Linked DNA regions of Notamacropus eugenii. The protein of the gene in region 1 interacts with the protein of each later gene in a pairwise test. Links are inferred from orthologs where the notes say so. Each region holds a gene or a part of one and is shown on either strand. Other genes may lie near its edges. The genes, in order: FLAD1 and PRTFDC1.

The links.
Region 2: the proteins of FLAD1 (region 1) and PRTFDC1 interact in binary tests that used the Homo sapiens proteins (3 or more experiments, as listed by UniProt). The two-hybrid records come from large-scale screens. The link is inferred for Notamacropus eugenii from reciprocal best matches to the Homo sapiens genes FLAD1 and PRTFDC1.

Annotation. Positions count from the first base shown.
Region 1 is NC_092873.1:379,067,701-379,078,775, reverse strand, and holds the start of FLAD1 (FAD synthase), read right to left. Parts: upstream 4,528-11,075; 5' UTR 4,290-4,527; exon of another isoform or gene 4,225-4,289; intron 4,126-4,224; 5' UTR 4,065-4,125; exon of another isoform or gene 3,730-4,064; 5' UTR 3,641-3,729; coding exon 3,578-3,640; intron 1,527-3,577; coding exon 782-1,526; intron 275-781; coding exon 127-274; intron 1-126. Other genes in the region: CKS1B (cyclin-dependent kinases regulatory subunit 1), read right to left, coding at 7,015-7,067, 8,679-8,806, 10,760-10,944. UniProt on the Homo sapiens protein: Catalyzes the adenylation of flavin mononucleotide (FMN) to form flavin adenine dinucleotide (FAD) coenzyme.
Region 2 is NC_092874.1:65,762,960-65,774,421, reverse strand, and holds the start of PRTFDC1 (phosphoribosyltransferase domain-containing protein 1), read left to right. Parts: upstream 1-6,855; 5' UTR 6,856-6,936; coding exon 6,937-6,984; exon of another isoform or gene 6,985-8,461; intron 8,462-11,462. UniProt on the Homo sapiens protein: Has low, barely detectable phosphoribosyltransferase activity (in vitro). Binds GMP, IMP and alpha-D-5-phosphoribosyl 1-pyrophosphate (PRPP). Is not expected to contribute to purine metabolism or GMP salvage.

The DNA.
Region 1 (11,075 bases):
ACACCGACACACATCCAGGAGGGAGAAACAGAGTGAATGGACCCAGGAAGGAGGGAGGGGAGCCACTGGTGGTAAGCAGTGGGGGAACATGCATCTTGGGAGGGCCTCTCCCAGGACTTGCAGTACCTCTGGACAGCAGCGTGGAAGAGGTGTAGAAGGGCAGTGCAGTCCTTTCCCCCGTTGAAGCCCACACAGAGCTGGGTCAGGCTGTACCTCGACAGGGCCTCCTCCATTGTCTTCAGGGCCCCTGCTACCTTCTTCCCCAGGGGAGTTCCTGCCAGGAATATTGGGAGCACAGGGGAGACATAGGCATGAACAGTCAGAGGGGATCATGCAATGATTCCTCAGGACTTTCCCAGCCTCTGTACAGCTTAACATCCCTTCCACTGGATCCCACCCCAGGGGCTAGAACCAAGTTAGTTCTCTGAACACTAGAACATACAGAATCTGAGAGTTTAAAGAAAGCTAAAGAGGTCATCTCTAGTCCAGCCCTTTGCCTGGGAAGCATGCATTTTCTCTATATGCATTCCTTCCCTGACAAGCAGTGGCTTTCTGAGAAATCAGAGGCAGTATCCAAAAGCAGAGTGAAGGTCTCACTGCCTATTCACTAGCACTATTTGGACGGAAAGGAAAACTACAGGTAGCAAACTGCACCTCTTTTTACAAGATCTACTGGCTACTGAACCCATTCCTAAGACAAATACAAAAACTTCTGCCAGGGACAGGAGATAGCCAAAGGAATGCAATGCCCGCTTCCCATCCTCCACAGCCTTCTTCTTACCTGACTGGGCTAACTTGTACACAGCTTCCCCAGCCTTCTCCACTGCATTGGGTACAAATGGCACCAGGGCTCCAGGAGGTAAGTGAGCAGTCAGATAGGCCTTCGCTTCCTCCACTGCTGCCTCTTCATCTGAGTCCAGGGTCAGCTTAACCCGGTAGTAATTACTGCTCCACTCTGGATAGGAACCAATGCCAAGTCTTCGTCCAAAGTGAGCCTGTGCTTCTGTGAGAATGGAAGCAACTGCCGATTCCTCCACTGTCAGGTATAACTCTCGAAGGTGGAATTGCACCCCTTCATTCCGGAATAGACTTGATAGCCCCCCGAGTACCCGCTGCTGCAGTTCTGGAATGCCTGGGAAGAGGTAGACATTCCGGACAGAAACCAAGGGGAATCGGAAGGGGACTCCAGTTTCAGGGTCAGTACCATAGTGCAGACAGGCAGTGGAAGGCACCTGAACCAGCTTCTCTTGCCCAGTGCCCCCCAGGGCTCTCACAGCTTTTTCCAACTCAGGATGGGGCTGGAGTTTGTCTCCAAAAGCCTGGGCTACAGCCTCAAAGGTGATATCGTCATGAGTGGGTCCAATGCCACCAGAGGTGAGGACATGGGTGAAGCGGGCAGAGAAGGAAGCCACCTCCTCTGCAATGGCCATCACCTCATCTGGTACCACAGAGATCCGGGACACCCGTACACCCATGGAGCGAAGAGTCCGGCACAGAAAATAGGTGTTGGTGTCCTGAGTATAGCCCTGGGGAAAGTGGGGGACAGAGAGTAAAGAGATTTGATGTTTTGTTTTGTGGAGGGAGGGTAGCTACTCCCACGTGTTGGAAAAGAAAGTCTCTTTCTTGGAGGTACCATAGAGATAGGGAGATGGGAGAGAGAAATGAGTGAGAGTGGATAATGGAAAATCATTTAGGGTTAAGATTTGGAACGGAGTCACTCACTGAGTCAGATCCATGATGCTCTACTTAGCCTTATACTCTTCTCTTTTGGTGAGACTGTCTAGTGTCATAGCTTCAAACATCACCTCCATGAAGATGACTCCTCAATCATTTATTTCCAGCACTTACTACTCCTTTGAGCTCTCATATCTTCAATTGCTCCTGAATGTATCTACTCAGATGTACTGCTGCAACTCATTAGGTCCAAAATAAAGCTATGCTTCTCCTAGAACCTGCCATTGCTCATGAATTTCCTATTTCAGAATGACGTAACTTTTTTCTTTCCCTTCTCCTTCATTTCTAATCAGTTGCCAAGTCCTGTCTATTCTAAGTCTCCCAATTTTTACATGGCAAATCTGACATTTGAACCCAGTTAGTCCAGTGCTCTTCCATTTTCACTGCTAACATCCTGAATTAGGTCCTCTTTCATCTCTTCTGGCCTGCACTGTTACCATGTCCCCAATCTTCCTTCCAGGCTCTCCTCTCCTCTACCCATCTTACACAGGACACTCAGACCAGTCCTCCAAAAATAATGCTCAAAGTGGTCAAAATCCTTCAGTGCCCTTCTACTTCTCACTGACTACAATCCAAATTCCTCATTTTGGCATTCGATTATCTGGCTACTTTGCTATGCACTACCCGCCTACATGTTTGTATTCCAGCCCAATCAGACTATTTACTGCTCACTGAATTGGACTTGTGTTTCTTTATCTTCAGTCCATTGGTCAGGCTGTTCCCTCCCCGTCAGGTCCTCCCCACCATTTCTACCACTTTCAAGGTTCAGCTCCAAAGCTTCCTCCATGCATCTTCACTTAGTCACCTGGAAGTGATCTCTTTCTTTTTGGAGCTCCAAACACAGTGAATCACTTATTCAAATGGCACTTCTTAAAGGTCTTTAGTTATTTCAACAGGAGTGTAATTCCCCTTTCACTTTTTACCTTTAACCCCCTTTATGTAAGCTGTCTTCCCCATTAGTAACTACCATTTATATGCCACCTTCTATGTGTCTGGCACTGTACTAAGCACTTCTACAATTACTATCTTGTTTGATCCTCACAAAAACCCTGGGAGATAGTAGCTATATTATCCCTATTTTACAGTTGAGGAAACGGAGGCAAAGAGATTCAGTGATCTGCCCAGGGTCACACAGCTAGTAAGTGACTTTGGGTCTTGCACTGTGCTACCTGGTTGCCATTAGAATATAAGCTCTCTGAAGGCAGGTAGTACCTTGGTTTTGCTTTTATTACTATCCCCAGCACTTGGCATAGTGCCTGGCACATAGCAAACACTTAAAAAAGGCTCCTTCCTTCTTTAAGTATATAGACAGCTTTGCATTTCCCATGCTATTTAATATGCAGTCCTACATATACAGTAGGCGCTCAATAAATGTCTGTTAGATGAATGAATATATAACCTACCCCCACCTCCACAGAGTTCCTTTGGGAGTTTTACTGAAGCCAGGGAAAAAGAGAGCTGAGCAAAATGAACAGGGGAGTGAGTTAAGTAACCAGTTTGGCAAAGGGCTCAGTCACGTTGTTAGGTGTGTGGCAGTGGGAGGTCTGTGTCATGGAACCTGCAAGTTTAGAGTAAGCGGCACTAGAGGAAGTTCACTTCCTCTTTCCCAGCTGGACTAAGCTGAACGTTTCTCCCCCTCAATTAAAATCAATAAGCTATCCTCCTGGGAAAAGAAAGAGAGAAAGGAAGAGCTGCCTAGGGTCCAGGTCCACAACTGCATCCCTGCCTGCTGAGGCATGCTCCCGGGGACTCCTTTGCCGCAGGTGCATGCTGGTGGGGTCCCCTTTTCGTGTGGTACACACCAGAGCAAGTGCACACGCACACCCCCCCCATACACACCCACCTTGAGGATTTCATCTCCGATGATGATGATGCCAGCAGTCACATTTTTCCTGGGGGTGGCCATGGTCCAACTTCTTCGATCCTGTAGTACCCTCCAGTAGCCACCCAGGCCCCGGGCGAGCACTCGGGAACATGAGGGTCCCGCCAGCTCTACTGAAAATCAGGAGCTGTGGCTCAGGTGAGGTATCAGCCTGATGGGCGACAAGACTAGAATGGAAGGAACTAAAAGGAAAACTGTGGAACGGTGAAGGATCCTTAAGTTGGGGGTCGGAGAATCAAAGAACATCCGCACTGGGGATGACTTTAGGGGGTGATCTAATACGACTCCATTATTTTGCTAAGGGGGAAACTGAGGCTCAAGGGGGAGTGACTGCTCAGTGGCACACTGCACACTGTGCTGCAGCAGACTCCCCTGGAAGCAAAGTGAAGAAGGGCCTTGGAGTAGGGAAAACACAGCACTGGGTTCGAGTCCCAGCTCTGTGACTTACTCACTGTGCGACCTTGGATGAGTCACGGAACTCTCTGGACTGCGGATCTCCGTTTCCCCATCTGCAAAATAAAGGGAGTTTGGATCTTAGGCGTGCTGCGGGCGAGCTCGGGCCGGCGCTGGATCGCGGCCCGACGCTCCCTTCCCCACATCACACGCACCCTTTTCAGAGCCCACGGCACGCTCGCTGCCAGCCCTTTAAACGTCGCTTCGGCGTGTCGGGTACCTGTGTCCTTAATCGCCCGGTCCCTGGGCCCCGCACGCGGAGACAATGCCTGTCCTTCTCCGGGCCCGACAGCGCGCTTTTTCCAAACTGGGCCCCCAATCCCGCTCGGGCCGCGCTGCGGGTTCCCTGCCCACCAGCCAGGATTTCTCCGCTCTCACCCGCCCCTTTGCCCCTTCCCCACTTGTTTCCAACAACTCCCTCCCGGCTGTCCCGACGCGGCTTCCGTAGCTAGCGTTCCTCCTCAGCTAGACAACCGCTCTGCGCCGATTGGCCCGGGCTTTCCCCGCCCCGTTCAGCCCCCGGAGGCTTCATTGGCGCAGGCGGCTGTCCCTCGCTTGTCCCCGAACGGAGGGCTGGAGAGGCGCCGGCTTGTTGTTGGTGGAGAGCACGTGGCCGTCACGCCCGGAAGTGCTGGGACGCGGGGTGGTGCCCTCATTCCTCCCCCTCCGGCCAGGTTTCCATAGAAACTGTCTTAACAGTGGGCCTCAAAGAGCTTTTGGTCTGCTGTAGCTGAATCCCGGCGGGACTAAAGGACGCAGTCCGATAGCACAGGCCACAGCTCTGCCCGCAGTAGTTGCGGGGTGAAGGTGCAGTGGGCACGTAGCTGGTTGGTGGGTGAGACGACATTTTGATTAGACACCACCACCTTCTAAGGTGAGGGCACAGCACTTTTCTGTGGATGCTTAATAGAGGATCAGGGCCCGGCTAGTCCATTGCCTCTAAAAGACGAACATTTCTTGGGGAGAGGGAGGAAATTCTGCCCTGGGCACCTAGTCAAAACACGAGAATTGGAAGTATCTTTAAAAGAAAGCTAATACCTTGCCACACCCAGCTATGCTTAGCAGCCCCGGAACTTTCCCTGCAGTGTCAAGTACATAGTTCACTTGTCTTTTATTTTTAGGGCCATTTACAGGTAAGGCCCTCTCCCTAGCCTTCCTAAGTAACCAGCGTTAGAGCGCTTGCTATAGGAGGCCTTGTTTACGCAACACTAGTAAGTGGAGCTTGTAGCCTTAAGGTAACAACCACGTGATTCATTGGGTTGTTGCCTCAGTCAAACTAAAACCTGTTAAAGGCTTCAGATTAAAGAGGCCAAGGTCTCCCACTGCATCCAGGGCCATTGGTTGCCTTATCTACATCTGGCCCCTGGACCCAGATGGCACCGGAGGAGAAAGTGAGGCTGGTGACTTTGCACAGCCCTCCTGTACTTAGATCCAATTCACTTGCATGTCATGGCATCACCTCCCTGATGTCATGGCCCTTTTTGAGGACAAACAAGACAGTCCATCAGAGTTGTAAGATACTTTGTAACTGTCTGGCTTTGGGCAAAATCACTTAACCTACAAGCCTCATTTTCCAAACCTTTGCAAGCCTGATACTATAGAAATGTGAGCTATTTCATCTGACTAAAAATCTCCAACTCCCGGTAAGACTGTCATGAGGAAGAAGTGGTCTCATTTTTAAAAACCAATAACAGCACGACAGAATGACTGACTTCTTATCCACTCAAACCAAAGGTTAGTCACTTGGTCAAAGGCCACCTAGAATTCAAACCCAGCAACTTTTTCTTATCGGGACAATTTCATGAATCTCCACCTCAGGAAGAGGAAGCCAAAGGGGTGTCCTTGGAAACCAAGATAATTATTTAGTGTGTCTGGATTTTTTTTTTCTTTAAAGAACTTCTACCAGCTCCTTAACTGTTTCCCATAACTGCTCATTGTATCATATCTGCACTCTGTCAGTGTGACCTGAACAAGATCTCAAACTGGCCGCTTCTAATCTGTAGACTATCCTATTCAGGCCAAACACTTAACAGGGAATGTTATTAAATGTTCAAAGAAATAGGTAGAAAAGCAGCACCTCAGAGGGGTCTTTAGCTCAGAAGACTGTCAACACTACACTAAAGGGAATTTAGCTTGATGAAAATCTATTCTTGTCATAGATTATATGTGGAACTGTTGTGAATGGAATTATTCCCTTTATTCGTGCCTGAATTCGTAAAGCAATGCTTTGGCAGAAGACATACAAATATAAAATGTGACAGACTAATGCATTTTTTTGAGAGAGCTGCCCTGGACCAGTGAAAGTTTGAAATGAAGATTTTCAGCAGATGGCTAAGAATAATCAGCTTAACATATTTTTGAAATTAAATCCCTGAAATGAGCCTCATTATCCGAAAAGTACTGAAGTCAGATTAGGACCTTGGTATCTCATGAATGATACTCATCCTGATCACAGGCAGAAGGAATCTAAGAATGAATTACAAAAACTTCCTCTTTATTCAAGGGATTTCAACAGAACAGACATTTCTTGAATAAAATGGAAAGTTTCCAACAAATGAAAATATAAATCCATTAAGTCACCTTATACACAACCTGGTGGGGAAAAAAACACAAACAATTATACATGCCCCACAACTAAACAATGATGAATCTTCAGTCACTCTTGGTGCTTTGTCCATCTACTTGATGTGTTCAGCTTGATAAGAAACTTGCCATGGCTTTTGGAGGCAAAGCTCAGCTGAAGTTACATTCATCAGAGCACCCAATGGGGTAGTGGTGGTGATGTCAGCTTTGCTCAAGAAACAAGTCACCAGCACTTTCAAACAGTGTATTAATCATCCCTTAAATATCCCAAGTGAGAAACAAGAAGGCAACACTATTAGCAGAAAGATGTTAGCGGGTTAAGGACAGCTATGTACAGCTTGGAACAGAAATGGCATGCTCTTTCATTTCTTAGGCTTCTTAGGCAGTGGCCGCCGGAACAGCAAAATGTGAGGCTCTGGAAGACAGGGAAATAGATATTTCGATAAGATGAGACAAACTGGACTGTTCTCATGAGCTAGTTCCCCCTTATGTCATCATCTATGTGTTAATAAGCACACTCTAATATTTAGAACTTAAGTTTTATTTTACCATTCAGCCCTAGAAAAAGACCAAGCAGCCTGGTCTGCCAGCAAATATATTAATGCTCACATCAATTCTCCCTCTACGTGGTTTGCCTAGATATAGAAGTGTCTTTTATTAGCGTTGCCCTGAAGCTGAATTTCTGATGTTTTATCTGGTGATTTATAAAAAACAAGTTTTTTTGGCTATAGTTCAAAGATGTCCAAGCACAAAAATTGGGTTTCTGAGGGGCAGAGAAGCAGGGGAGGTAGAGATAGTTAATAGGGAATATTTGACTTTAGTTTATAACTAGTCCGTAATCAGAGAGTACAGAATTTAAGAGGAGTGTCCACATAGACAGGCTCCCAACTGCTTTTCAGATATCTTGAATGGATGTCCAGTAGACATCTTAAACAAACTTATTGTGTCCAAAACTGAACTCATCTTTTCCCCAATGCCTTCTCCTCCTACCTTCCTTATTACAGTAGAGGGAAACACCATCCTCCCAGACCTTCAGGCCTGAAACTTAGCCATCCTTAACTCCTCACCATCTCTCATTTCCATAGCCAATCTGTTGCAAAGCCTGTCAACTTCACTTTCCAACATTTCTTGAATATACCTCCACCTCTCCTCTGACACTGCCACTGCTGTAGGGCAGGCTATCATCACTTCAGGCCTGGATTATTATAACAGCCTGCTGGTAGGTCAGCCTGCCACTGGCCTTTTCCTACTCCAATCCGTTTTTCATAGAGCTGTCAAAATGAGTTTCCTGAAGCACAAGTCTGACTATATCATCCCTCTATTCGATAAATTCTAGTGGCTTCCTATTGCCTCCAGAATTAAATACAAAATTCTCTGGCTTTCGAAGTTGTCCTCCCACCTTTCATGTTTTCTTAGGCCTTACACACCTCTACATACTCTTCAATCCAGTGATACTGGCCTCCTTGCTATTCCATGAACAAGACAGTCATCTCTTGGCTCCAGTTATTTTCTCTGGCTGTCACCCATGCCTGTAATACTTTCCCGCCTCATCTCTGCCTTCTGGCTTCCTTCAAGTCCCAACAAAAATCCCACATTCTACAGGACAACTTTCCTTCTTAATTTTAGTGTCCTCCTTCTGTTAATTATTTCCTATTTATCCCATACAGTTTGTTTGTACAATCTGTTTGCTTATGGTATCCCCCATTAGATTATGAGCTGGTTGAGAATAGAGACTGTCTTGTGCTTAGCACATAGTAAAGGCTTACTGACCAAATGACAAGCCATCATTGAACTCTAGATATTTTGCTATTTGTGGTCTCCATGTAGGGCAAGGGAACACTCATCTATCCCACCTAAATAGATAAAATAATCAGCAATTACATGGGCACAGATGCTTAAGACAATAAATTATTAACTATTACATCCCTCCTCCCCCTTCCCATCTTCTTAGCTTATTACATTGATATATGATCTTATTACTTTTCCAGTGTTATCCTATAGAGTTGCTTTCAGATTTTCCACTGACCTGGTTCATGGATCATGTAATGGACCCATCCCTGACTCTGCTGGACACCAAGGTTCCTCCACTCAGACTCAGACATCAAGTGGGTCTTAGGGACCAGTTTGGCTATGTCCTTGGGCAACATGACGTGCCTGTAACAGAAATGTGGGGATGGTTTGCATCTAAGCATGGTGCAGTTAGGCAATCAACACTCTATATTATGCCTTTCACTCTGTACAGAAAAGTATATCATGGACTAAAGAGAAGATACAAAGGAACAATAACAATTCCTGCTCTCAAGGGAGCTTACAATCTAATGGGGGATTTCTTCAGTCAAGACTACTATAGAAACACTTTCAAAAACTTGTAATATATTATTGAGAACTTTAAAACTAATACTGTATTTGATTAATGATGCTGATGAGAATGGCATTATTAGAATACTTATAACAGTTGATTGATGATAGATCTTAATCAATATCTGGGAAAGAGCATGACTCTGGGGAGGGAATGTGGATAGTGGTTCTGAAAAGCCAGTGTACAGAGTAGAAAACTAAATGGTTTTTAATTTTCTGATCCTTTTTTGGAAAACTTGAAATACTTCTTAGCTAAGGTTCTGAGCTGGGGTCTAAGTCACTCAGGGAGGCAGATGAGCTGTTTGATTATTTGAAATCTGAGTCCTCGTGACCCAATTTGAGCTTCAGTAATGTCAATGAATATTTGCTGAATGTTCCTTGTATACAAAGGTGTCTCTGTATCCAAATAAATGTTTCTTGCCAGAATCCCTGATTAGGGATTTATATGCTAACAGGCTGAGAATTAAAAACCACCAACCTGAACAAATAATTTTCATTTAACACAGTAGCACAGGATATTTTAAACCAAGGCCTACTACAAAGCCATTTCAGCTGGGGTTCCAAAACGGCATGTTCCCCAGGACCAAACAAGTGACTTTTCCTTATTCTGATTTAATAATTGGGGGGACTGATAAATGAGTCTCTGTTATTAGTTTATTTAAAAGAACAGCTAAGAAGTATTGGGTTTTTATCTAGTTCTCTGCAACATTTTGTATGAGAGTAGGCACCCAATATATGTTGGCTGGTGTTAGCAGTTGCCTAGGGTGTACAGAACCCTATGCTAGGTCCTGTGAGATATACAAATGAAATCCATGTCTTTTCCTTGTATTTAAGGAACCTGAAATCTAGTTGGAAAGAATTGGAGATATCTTAAGAACCTTTATATTATAGCAAGAACAAATTAAAACGTTCCAATAGGTGGTTAGTAAATTATCTGTTTTCCAAAACACAAAGGTCTTAGAATTTTTGCAAGAGTGCCATTAAAATCCATTAAAAGAATTTCTCTTCTACATCTAGTTAACATGGGATCTGCCCCGACAGTTGCAGTGGCAGGTACAACTTACTATCATAGAATACAATGCTTTACATTTGACAGCACTACTAATAATTAAGAAGGGAGTCCTTAGTCAGAGGTACCAATAGGTCCTAGTTCTGTTTTCTGAAGCCACCTAGACTAAGTCTAATCCTTTTTTCTAAATGGTCCTTCAAATTTATGTGGATATCTGTCATATCCTTCCTCCCTTCAATCCATTATTTACTAGCATATTTAACGCTTTCGACGTCCTTCCCACTCACTGAACCCTCACAGTTCCAGGGGCAAAGGAGCCCTCAATCACCCCCTTTTTTCTTGGGGTTAATGGATATCACCGGCGGGCCTGCCACACTCTCAGTTCCATAACCACCTGGCATTCCTTAGGCAGACATGAAAGAGAGCTGTCAGTTTGAAAGAGGGTGGGGGGATGATGGCGGCAGACCAGCACAGGTAAAGGTAACAAGCCTTCACTATTTCGTCCCCTTCCTTTGCAACTTTATCAAACCGCGAGGATTCCACGCATGCGTTCTAAATATAATTTACCCCGCCTCACTACGAACCTTTCCTGCGCATGCGTCTAACTTCCCAGTTGGCTCTAGCGCATGCGTTTCTAGCTCTTTCTCCCGTCCATCGCTAAGGCTAAGATGGTCCTCGCGCCCGCACCCGCCGTTGCCTACTTTACCTAGCATGGCCACCCCCTTCACGCCCGAACTGACCGGTACTCGAACTCCTCATCGTCGTATTTGTCCGAATAGTAAATTTGTTTATGCGACATGTCTGCTCCTTCCGGGGGACCCCAACCCCGCGCCTCCAACCGCCTAACTACAGCTACGCGCGCGCGCACCACAACTCTACGGGGCCTCGCTTTCAAACCTGCCGCTCCTTCAATTAATTGGCTCATTCTATCGGAGGCGGGAAAAAGAGCCCACCTTTGAGACGCTTATTGGCTTTTATAGTTTTCACTCTATCCCACCTCGGGTTCTTATTGGTCCATAGGGCCAGACAGTATGTTTCGTATACGCCCATGAGACC
Region 2 (11,462 bases), on another chromosome or scaffold:
AAAGCAAAATATCATCATCATTTTTACTGGCTTTTGGCCACAATGGATTTCATCCAGACTCTAACCAGTGACTCAGTGACTAACCATCTGAGTCACCAGGTTCCATATGTTTGTGTGTTTCAGAGTGGTTTCCAGGCTGAACATTTTATATTTATTTTCATGTGTCAGTGCTTATGAACAATTAGCTATCATTCTGAACTTAGCGTGTATGCTGACACCAAGTGACTGTCTCAAATCTCAGGAGAGAAAAGTATTCCATGTTCTGCATAAAAAATTTACTCAATAACAGACTTCAACTAGCAAAATATTTGCAGGTTTAAATTTCATACCTTTCATAAATTTGGTGGAGGGCCACCCAACTGCTGAGAGTAATCATATGATCTGGAGAAGGAAGAGACCTTAGAATGGACAATACCTATCTCATCACCTACTTTAGCCTCCTCATTTTACAGAGGAAGCAAGTGGCATGAAGCAACTTTGCCATTTTCACACAGGTAGGAGGTGACAGCCAGATTTCAAGCTGAAGTCCCATGATTTGAGTCTACTTCCCATTACCACCAGACAATGGTGAGAAGCATTCCAACAGCCGAGCCTGAGAGGGGAATTCTGGAGAGTTCAAATGTGGAGTAGCATGCCTATCACTAGATTTGAAATCAGAAGTAGTAGTTTAATCATTTTAGCAATGGCTGACTCTTGATTTTCTTGATAAACATACTGAAATGGTTTGCCATTTCCTTCTCCAGCTCATTTTACAGATGAAGAAACTAAGGCAAATAGGGTTAAGTGACTTACCCAAGGCTGTACAGTTAGTAAGTATCTGAGGCTGGATTTGAATTCAGGTTTTCCTGACTCCAGACCTGGCACTGGAATCAGAGGACGTAGGTTTAAATGCTGATTCTACCTATTTACTAACTGTTTGACTATGGACAAATTCCCTTTCTGGGCTTTAGTTTCCTCACTTATAAAATGAGGGTATTGGCCTGGGCAATCTTCAAGGTCCTTAAATCCTGTGATCTTTAATAGCATCTGTGTATCTTCATGGTTTTCGCTATGGTAGGAACCATCTGATTATAGAAGAGGTATTATAAATGATGGTACATGACTATCTTATTGTTCTCATTTGTTAATAAAATTATGCATTCAGAAATTTTAATTCTGTCGTACTTGTATGTTCATTAATTATACAGATAAATAAGAACAATTACTATTGAGGAAGGACAGTTCTTTATTTCATTAAATAAATAATAATGAATTAGAGTGGGGAATTGAACTAATGACTTAATGAAAGACATCACAAGCTGACTAATGAGAAACAAATTATTCTATCGATAAAATTAAATATATAACAAGGAGTCAAATAGCAGGCCCAAGATGGGTGACCTACAAGTGCCTGTGGTCAGACCCCAGATCCCAAACTCCACTGAACCTGCTGCTTGTGGGGTTCATGTCTTTCTCTCTTTGGACTTGCTACCTAAAGGTAAGGAAAAATAGGAAAAAGCTCAATGCATTTCCCTTGCCTTGGGTTTTCAGAGCTGTGAATCTCACTCTTTTTACATCTAAACAGAACTAAATTCACTATCTGCTTATGCTCCTAATTCTAAATTTTCTGATTTTTCTGTATCCAGCATGTTTTCTTATGCCAGCCCTAACTTGTCTCTGGGCAGTAATTTCAGGCTACCCTTTACTTGTGTTTCACCATATAAAAGACAGTTCTCTTTTCTTTGCTAACATTATCTCATTAATTCTCACCACATCCCAGACTAATAACACCTTACATTTTGGCAATATTTTTCCAAGGGCCTTTCACATATATTATCTTATTTAACACACACATTATGTAATCTTAGAGGATAAGACAGGTCTTTATCCTCCCCGTTTTACAATTAGAACAGCTGAGGCACTGGGATGATAAGTGACTTGACCATGTGATATGAATTATCATGGATAGTTAAATGGCAGAAGTAGGACAAGAACAAAAAACTTCTGACTTCTAGTCAAAAAATCTTCATAGGAGATCAGTGAGGCATACCCAGCACACTTTCCCCCAGACTATACAATATGCCAATGTCAAGTTAAGGGATAGAGCCTAGATACCTGAGTTAATGTTATTCCTTGAAAAATAAACTTTGCACTATCTAATAAATATTCTATAAGGGTTTCCTTGCACCAGTTTCCAACCCTTGATAATGAATTTTATCCTTTTAAGATAATACATCAAAACTATCTTATAAAGAAACACCTGAAGTCAGAGGAGACAGATAGCAAAATTAATCAAGTCTACTCTTTTTTTCCTTATTTCTCATGCTCAGCAAGCACTTCTTGCTTTGGATGAATAGGCAAATGGATATTTCCAATGCTGTGGTTATATGGTTTCCATTCCCTCAATTGACAACCTGCAATTTTTCAGAGTGTAGCTATGGGGTTGCATGTAAAAATTATTTTTAATTCTTACTATAAAAAGAGATACTATAGATCCTTGTGATTTTCAACATTTGCTAGTTCTGTTATCTTGCAGTTTCATACAATTTCCACAACTAGATCATAAGTTATCTAATGGCAGGGGTCTGTTTTCTATTTCCTGTCATAGGATCCAGGTTGGCAATCAAACCCTGAACACTACACAGATTCCATAGTGAAATTCATAAAAATGCAAAAGACATCGATCTAACCATTTGCCCTGGAAAAACTAAATGAAAATTCATATTGCTTTATAACATTATAGCATGTAGGTACGTAGGCAACTGACAAGTTAGTTCACAAACATAAATATATGAGATAAGTGCTGCACATGGATAATGATTTGAGACTGGAATTAAACTGATATCAAGTTAGAATGTCATCAGGAAATTGTGAAGTGCTTTCACTGCTCCCTAAACAAAAAAATAAATTGAAAGGAAGACTTCTAGTTCATTGAACACTCCCTTTATGGAAATTTTATGGTGAAACAGGGACAAGAATAGTATAGGATGGAGTATAAGAGGATTTCAGTCTTTTTCATTGGAGTTAGTATTCACAGAGATGGAATAATTTTTCAACTATTAAGTGAAGATAAAGCATCTGATAACTCACTATATATTGCTTGATGGCTTTTACAAAGTATTTATAAGATCATAGATTTAGAGCTGTAAGGGATCTCAGAAATCACCTTGTCTAATCCCCTAATTTTATATAGAAAGAAACTAAGGCCCCCACAGGGTCAACTACTCGCCCAAGGTCATATGGGTATAGATGGCAAGTTCAGAATTAAAACTGGGGTCCTCTGACTTCAAATCCATCATCATTTTCCCTGTGCCGCTGCTGTCTCTATATAGTAACTGCTAAAGTGCTTTAAGGTTTAAAAAGCATGACATACATATATGTGCACATATGTGTATACCATACATATATGTAATCGAATGTGATCCCTACAATGACTCTGTTCAATAGGTGTTATTCTTATCCTCATTTTATATATGAGGAAACTGAAACTCAGAGAGGTTAAGGACCGTTCAGGGTCACGCAACTAGTTAGCGTCTGAGGAAGAACTCAAATTCAGGTCTTCCAGATTCCAAGCTGAACACTTGTTACTCTCAGCCAAATGCCTACATACGTTAATTAACTGATCTATAACCATATATATATGTGTGTGTGTGTGTGTGTGTGTGTGTGTGTGTATACATATATGTATAGAAGTGAGCTGGTGACCTGCACAGCCCTCCCTCACTCAAAACAAAGTCAAGTGCAAGTCATGTCATCATTTCTCTGATGACATGGTTTTCTTCAGTAACAAAGGACAAACACGATATATATATATGTGGAGTAATGGATAGAGAATGAGGAAATTGGGTTCACATCTTTCCTGCCTCTGACACATAGATTGTGGGACTCTTAGTAACTCATTTGGAAGTGCCCTCTCCCAATACTCTAAGACTACTAGTCACAGAACAATTGTCTCTATATTTCCTCCCCCAGATTTTTACATAGTAGAAAGCATAATTTGCCTAATGGTGCCAGTTTGGTCAATGAGTATATTCATCCCTCATAAAAGGTTGCAATAGCATTGTTAAAGTTACAAATTATGAGATTTTCAGAGAAATGGGAAGACCAGTATAAATTGATGAAGAATGAGGTGAGCCAAATGACTAAAATAGTGTAAATGAAACAACTGATGGAGAAGTGGGTGAAATATGGATATGAACGTTGCATACTTTGGTATATAAGTGACTGGGTCAATTATATTTGCTTGTATTTTTCTTTGCAACAAGACAAGGTTCAGAGAGGAGAGGGATTTTCTCAAGAAATTACTATGGTGGAAAAACCAAAGGCATCGATAAGACTTGTAAAAAAGTTGTTGTTAAGGGAAATGGGGGAAAAAAACACAGAGCAGACAAAAGGTAAATGCTGCAAAATTACAAAATAAAACAAACAAACAAATGAACAATATGGCCCTAAAGATGAAAATGGGAAGATACCTCCAGCCTATTCCTTTGAAGATGTGAGAGGTTCATGGCTATGGTACATTGCATGTTTTCCTACTTTTTCAATGTATTAATTGGTTTTTTGCTGTCTCTCTTTTTTCTTTAAAAATATTGTTTGCTATATGGGATAACTTTTTGGAAAGGACAGAAGAAGGGATACTGAGAGACATATGCTGGTGGTGTAAAAACCAAAGAAATCAATAAAATTTATTTTAAGTCATGGTTAATGAATTATAACCCAAACCTAGTATAAAGTCACTAAATTCTAGCTGCCCATGTATACATGGTTCTTATGTAATAAACTTCCCATAAAGCATCATTTTACCTTCTTTGATTCAATACAATTCAACAAACATGAAGTACCTACTATGTGATAGGAACTAGGCTCTGATGATTCAAAGACAAAAATGAAAGTACCTTCCTTTGAGGTGTTTACATTCTAGGGAAGGCTACAACATGAAGGCAGATAAGTAAATGAATATAATGGAATCTGAAGTGATGGTACATCACCAAGGAGGGTGGAAGGATCTGAGAAGGTGCACTTTTTGCTTTTGTGAAATCAATGAAAAATGTTCATTGGAGGCAGCTCTGGACCCATTTTCACTATTTTGGTGTGATTATGCTTACCTGAGCACCCTTCTTATCCTCATGTGTTCACTGATATTTTCCATTTTAGGTAAAATGACTCTCATACATGAGTTTAAGCACCAAAATTAACTAAGTTGCATTATTCTGCCCTGTTGATTTGGAAACCACCACATTTCATAGACACTTAGAATCTTTTTAAACATGCTCTTCATGTTCAGGAGACTGTGTTCATGCAGCTGATATGTTTTCCCACCCTGTAGGTGTTCAATAAAAATTAGTTGATGACTATCCTCTCCTCCCATCCCTTAAGCTTGGCAAAGGTCATATTCCTTTTCCTGGCTTCTACACAAATCTGAAGAATAAAACAGTAATCCTTGGAAAGAATTCTGAGTCAGGCCCTTGGTGGAGTACTATGTCCAGTTCTGGGCTCCATAATTTGAGGGGGTGTGGAAAACTTGGAAAGAATTCAAAGATGGGGGTCATGGATTTATAGAAAGTGGAAAACACACACATCATAGATTCTCATATGTCTGGGGATGGTTTAAGAATGTTTTAGCAAGCCAGAAGTTATACTGAATCTTTTCCCAAGTCCCTTTTAGGTCTCAATTGGGTTATTCTAAAATGTACCAAGCTGATTCAGATTTCATAGTGTCAGTTCAAATATCATAGAATCCAAAGTCCCAGTGCTAGAAGGGACCTGAATGGATCTATTTTCAGAGGACCACAGAACTTCAGAGTTGGAAGGGACCTCGGCAGCCTAATACAGTTCATATTTGAGAAAGACCCTCCACCTTAAGTTCTCCAACTCACACCCTTAGGGGAATACTGTGTCCAGTTCTGGGCTCCACAACTTGAGGGGATGTGGAAAACTTGGAGAGAGTTCAGAGACCATGATCATTAATAAAAATGGGAAAAACACATATCACAAGTACTCATGTGTCTAGGATATGACCTTAGAGGCGCCTGATTTCTTTGAGGAACAGAGTTGAGAATCTGGCAGGATAAAAGCAAATGGAAATCCCCTGCTGCCCCTTCATTCTCTTAGAAATCTATATTGGTCAATATGTGGCTTTATTTTTCTTGACTAAACATAGTTGTTACAAGAGAGAGATTCTATGGAGAGGAAGGTCCTGTGGTAAGTAGCAATAGATAACAGAAAGGGGGAGAAAAAGAGGATCCATAAGACGTCTTAAAATTCACAGAAGAAATAAAAAAGAATTCCAGAATGGAGATACAAAAAGAGCAATTTTTTTTTACTACCAGGATAATTGTAATTTGTCCAGCTTTCTATAAAAAAAACAAACTATGCATGGCAGTTCTGTGTGTTTATACAATCCTCCTTTTTTTCTAAACAACTGGAATTTTTTGTTTTTGTTTTTGTGTTTCCTAAAGATTAAATTCAGGTTTTAAAAGAAAATGTTTGGGAGGGGGGAGAACTGAAACAGTCGACACTGCTTTTTTCATTTTTCTGAATAGTTCAGGACTTTCAAAGACCTCAGGGACGCGAGCACCCCGGGGCACCCACCTCAGCAGCTGGGGGAACATACACCGGGCATAGGAGGGGCTGCCAAGTAGCCCCGGCCAGCGCGGAGGCTCCCAGAGCTGGCAGCAGGTCTTCAGGTATCGTATTAGGGCATCCTCCCGAAGCTCAGCGCCGAGGAGGAAAAAAGCAGAAGGAGGAGTTGGCGTCCGGCCAATGAGAGCCCGGGGCAGCAGAGCCATCCTTTCCCGCCAGCTGGCTGGGGGCAGGGGCGGAGCTGTCCCCCAGAGGCCGGTGCCCGGCGCCGCATCCCCTCCCCTCCCTGCCCCCGCCCCTCTTGCCCATTCACCCCCTCCCTGGAGCTCCGGGCTCCCTTTCTTTCCTTACTTCCTGCTTTCCTCCGGGAGAAACATGGCTGGGAAGAGAGAGGAGGCGCGAGACGAAAGGCGAGGGGTCGTGGTAAATGGAAACTCCTGATTTCCGGGCAGTAGTGAGCGCCCACACCCTCCGTATCTCCTTCATCCCTCCCTCCAGGCTGCTACCCTTGGCCATCTCTTTGCAGACTGGAATTCTCCCTCTTAGAGGAGGAGGAAAACCCTCGGGCGGCGCTCAGTGTCTCCCAGGGATACTTTGTTTCCATCTTCTAACAAAGACCCTCCATCCTTAGCCCTAGAAAAATCCAACCCAGCAAATAGCTTTTTCTTTTTTTTCTCTTTCTCAATCTTTTCCACACTCCAACCTTCTCTTCTCTTCCACTCACAAAAGCCCCAGCCGCCCTACCAGCACCCTGGCCTTTGACCTTGCCTTTTGTTCTTGCTCTAACCTTGCAAACTCCAGGCCTAGCTTTTAGAAATGGGAGTGAAGGGTTAGAGATGGGGAGGATGCAGGTAAGAGAGGCAGGTGGGTCTGCGCTTTGTAACCTTCCCTTTGGTTTTTCTTACCTTCCTTTCCGCCTACCTCCACTGCCTTGAGACTACCGTAAGATTAAAAGAAAAATTCGACCGAATCAGTGTGGGATTATGAGAGTTAGGCAGCTGACCTCTGAACCTCTGTCCTTACCTGGAGAACCAGCCCCTCTAGGGTGTGAGACCCCTGGTGCTTAAAGGTGTTTGCTCTGATCTTTTATATAATCGCCTTCCACTCTTCCATCTCTGGCTGTGATCCAGCATCAACTCAGGTTAAAGGTGGAAGCTGTTTTCCCCATGCTAAGCAAAGCCCCGAAAATATCTTTTACAGGGTGTTACATGGCCTATAGAATTCCATTCAGTGTTAATGATATTGGAAATACTGGCCTTGGTATCCCCCCAAAATCTTATTGTTTTGGGGCTAGGTCAGTTCAGTTCAATACATTTTTGTGGAATTGAATGGGATCTGTAAGTTAACCCGGAAATAATATTTACTTGCATAAATGGAGTGAGGAGAAGAAGAAAATAAAAATGGACAGAGGCAGGTAGGGACTAAGGGTCCTTCATTTTCGAACTTGTTGTTCAAGCTTTCATTTAACAAGGGGGATTGTGAAAGTGGCATGGTTTTAGTGGAAATCCATTGATTTGGAGTCAGAAGACCTCAGTTGAAATCCTGGTCTCTGTACTCTACTACCTGTGTATTCAGTTACTCCTTGGGTAAGTTACTTCTCTGGGTCTCAGTTTCTTGGATAATATGATCTCTAAGGATGCGTTTCATCACCAATTCAACGTAAACAATATCCCCAAAGTCTCAAGCTTTAGTAGCTTAAACCTGCACCAAGACTTATATCGAACCTGGTTTTTATGACCCTCCATATTAATAGTAATGTTGCTTTACTTTTAGCTCCAGTGCTTTAAGGTTTACAAAATGCTTTACATTTATTATCCCCCTTGAGGAGGTTCATGGGTCTTGGCATTAAAATATGCTGTGGTACGCATTTTCGTGCTCACTTGGATGTGTTTTCGGAAAAGAGCAAACACTTTCAAAATTGGGTAGTTATGAGAACAATCGCTCGGAATGTTTTGGCTTCTGCCTCAAGCAATTAAATTTTCAGTCACTGAACTGAAGCTTTCCCTTCCAGTAAAGAATCCACCAAGAAATTTCTCTCAAAATTAATTTCCTTGACCAAAAAACAGCCCAAAGAAAACAACCCTAAAAGAAGTTAAGATTATAGCTTACTGTTGTTTCCCCATTTCCACTATCACAAAATTAAACCAGTATAAAGAGGGGAGGTCAGAGAGGTAAAATTTCTCACAGCTTAGAACCAGCTGGCTATAATGGTTCTGTGTTCTGAGTTCGGATAATATTTAAAACAGCTTATTTAAGTGCCTCCCTCACAAAGATCCTGTAAGGAATATGCTACATAGGGTCTCCAATTTAGACTTCAAAAAGATCTTAGAAATTGTGTAGTGTGACTCACTCATTTTACATTTGAGGAAACTGAGGCCTATAGAAACTAAGGTGACTTTCTCAATGTTATACAAGTGGTAGTGGTGGAGTCTGGATTAAAAGAGAAAACTGGGGTACAGAAAATTATGTGATTAAACTACCTAGAGTAGGGCGGGATTCTAACCCTCACTGATCCTGGATGTAGTCCAGCATTATTTATACTTAGATATTTACGGGGCTACCTTTTGCGACCCTGGACAAATCCCCCTGGGTTTCACTTTATTAATAAAATGTGAGAGTGTGTGACCTTGATCCTCTCTGAGATCTCATTGAACTCTGCCTTTTGGAAAGGAACCATGTAATGTGTATGTTTTATGGTTTCTGATGAGGAAATACTCTTATGCCCAGGTCAGCACTTTCTCTACAGTTTAGTCTTAGAGAGTTCCTGGGGTGCTTACAGGTTAAGTGACTTGTTATTAAGAGCAAGAATTCATATTTTTTTGACCTCAGGGTTGGCTTACTACCCACTATTACTTGGAGCTAGGTGGCACAGTAGTGTATCCAGGGCTGAGCCTGGAGCTAGAAAGTTGTTCATTTCAGTTTAAGGTTTTCTTGGCACATTCCCTTCTCTAGCTCATTTTGTAGATGAGGAAACAAGTTTAAGTGACTTGCCCAGGGCCACACAGCTAGTAAATATCTGATGCCAGATTTGAATTCAGGAAAATGAGTTTTCCTAATGCCAGACTTGGTACTCTATCCACTGCGTCACTAGGCTGCCCAGGAAGTCAGGAAGACCTAGGTGTAAATCCAGCCTCAGACTGACTATGCGACTTTGAGTAAGTCATTTTACCTCTCTTTGCCTCAGTTTCCTCTTCTGTATTATCTGGGGATAGAAATAGATCTCACCTCCCCTTGTTGTCATGAGGATCAAATGAGATATTTGTAAAGCACTTAGCTTAGTGTGCACACTTAATTAATGCTAGATATTTTTCCATACTACCTTAATGCCATATGACTACTAAAATGACTGTTCCAAAGAAGATAGAAAATAAAGTGTGAGTAATTTGTATTCAAGATAGAAAATAAGTGAGTAATAAGTAGTGTTGCTAAAATGTCATGCTAAAAATGTACATCTTTTATTCAGATACTGTAACTTTTGAAGTACTTGGCTCTTTGAGTACTCCCATAAAGCAGCAAATCATGTGTAAAGTATGTGAAAAGGATTCTGAAAGGTAGATCAATCAACCAGTCAATGATTATTTATTAAACACTTACTGTGTGCCAGAGCTGGGGTGTTTATACAAGTAGAAAGAAAGATAACCCCTACCCTCAAGGAACTTACATTTTAGTGGGAAAAGACCACACATAAGAGAAAGCTGAAGAGGTCAGGAAAGAGACTAGGGTGCCTTATGTTGTGCTGGGCATGGTAAAGGAAATCCTGAGTCATCGTCGGCCTAGACACCCTCCCTAAGTGAGGTTTCTAGGTGGAGCTGTCCGATCAGAGTGATGCCACAGGATGAGTCCAATATATGAATTTCAGGGATGCAAGAGGCTTCAGGTTGATGGAGGAAATCCAGTGGAGAGCCCCATAGGCTCTGTATCCTTGGGTGATTTGAGACAAGTGTTTTTAACCTGAGGTCTGTGAACTTTTAAAAAGTATTTTGATAACCATTTCAATATAACTGGTTTCCTTTGTAACTTACATATTTTATTTTATGCATTTAAAACACTTTTCTGAGAGTTTACAGGCTTACCAAAGTATCAAAGGAATTAATGACACAAGAGTTAAGCACCCCTGATTTAAGGGAATATATAGCATGGGGGAGAAGACATTGAGATCAGGAAACAGTTGACTGCAATATAGAGTCTGGGAAAGGCAGTAATGTGGAAAAAAATCTGGAAAGATAGGTTGGGGCTACATTTTGGAGGCTGAGAAGTCTGTATTATATCCTAGAGGCAATGGGAAAGCCAGTGGAAAAGTCATAGTGTTTTTCCCTCCTGTGTATGTAATTAAAAGGAAAATAAAAAACTGAAAACCCTTAATCTGAGCACCTGCTCCTTAACACTTAGAAACTGATTAGAATTTTCCCTTGGTTATTCCCAGGCTTAAAAAAGGAATTAAAAATTCACTGCAGAAAATCCCCATGCAGATGATCCAAAATCATTTGTATTTGCAAAATAAAGTCTGCTTTAAAACTGGTCCAATTGTAACATTAGGCAAAGAATTTTTTTTTGTTGTTGGCAGTTTTTATAAGTATAGGAACTTGAGGAGATCTAAGGATTTTAAATTCAAATGTATTTCATATTTTAGATGAAACCAGAATCTGGTTGATTACTATTGTAAGAAGTTTTCATTCCTCTTTCTGAATTAATCATGTTATGGGGTTCAGAGACAGCAAGAATTATTATATTGAAGGCCAGGCTCAAGCCCAGCCTATTACACAGAGATTCTGTGACCCTGGACAAGTTACTTAACTTCTCAGCCCCCTAGGTAGCTCTCAAAGACTATAAATCACTGATGACTTGCTAATGTACATCAGAAAAGGGAATTTCCACACCTGTAGTCTCTCACATTAATAAAA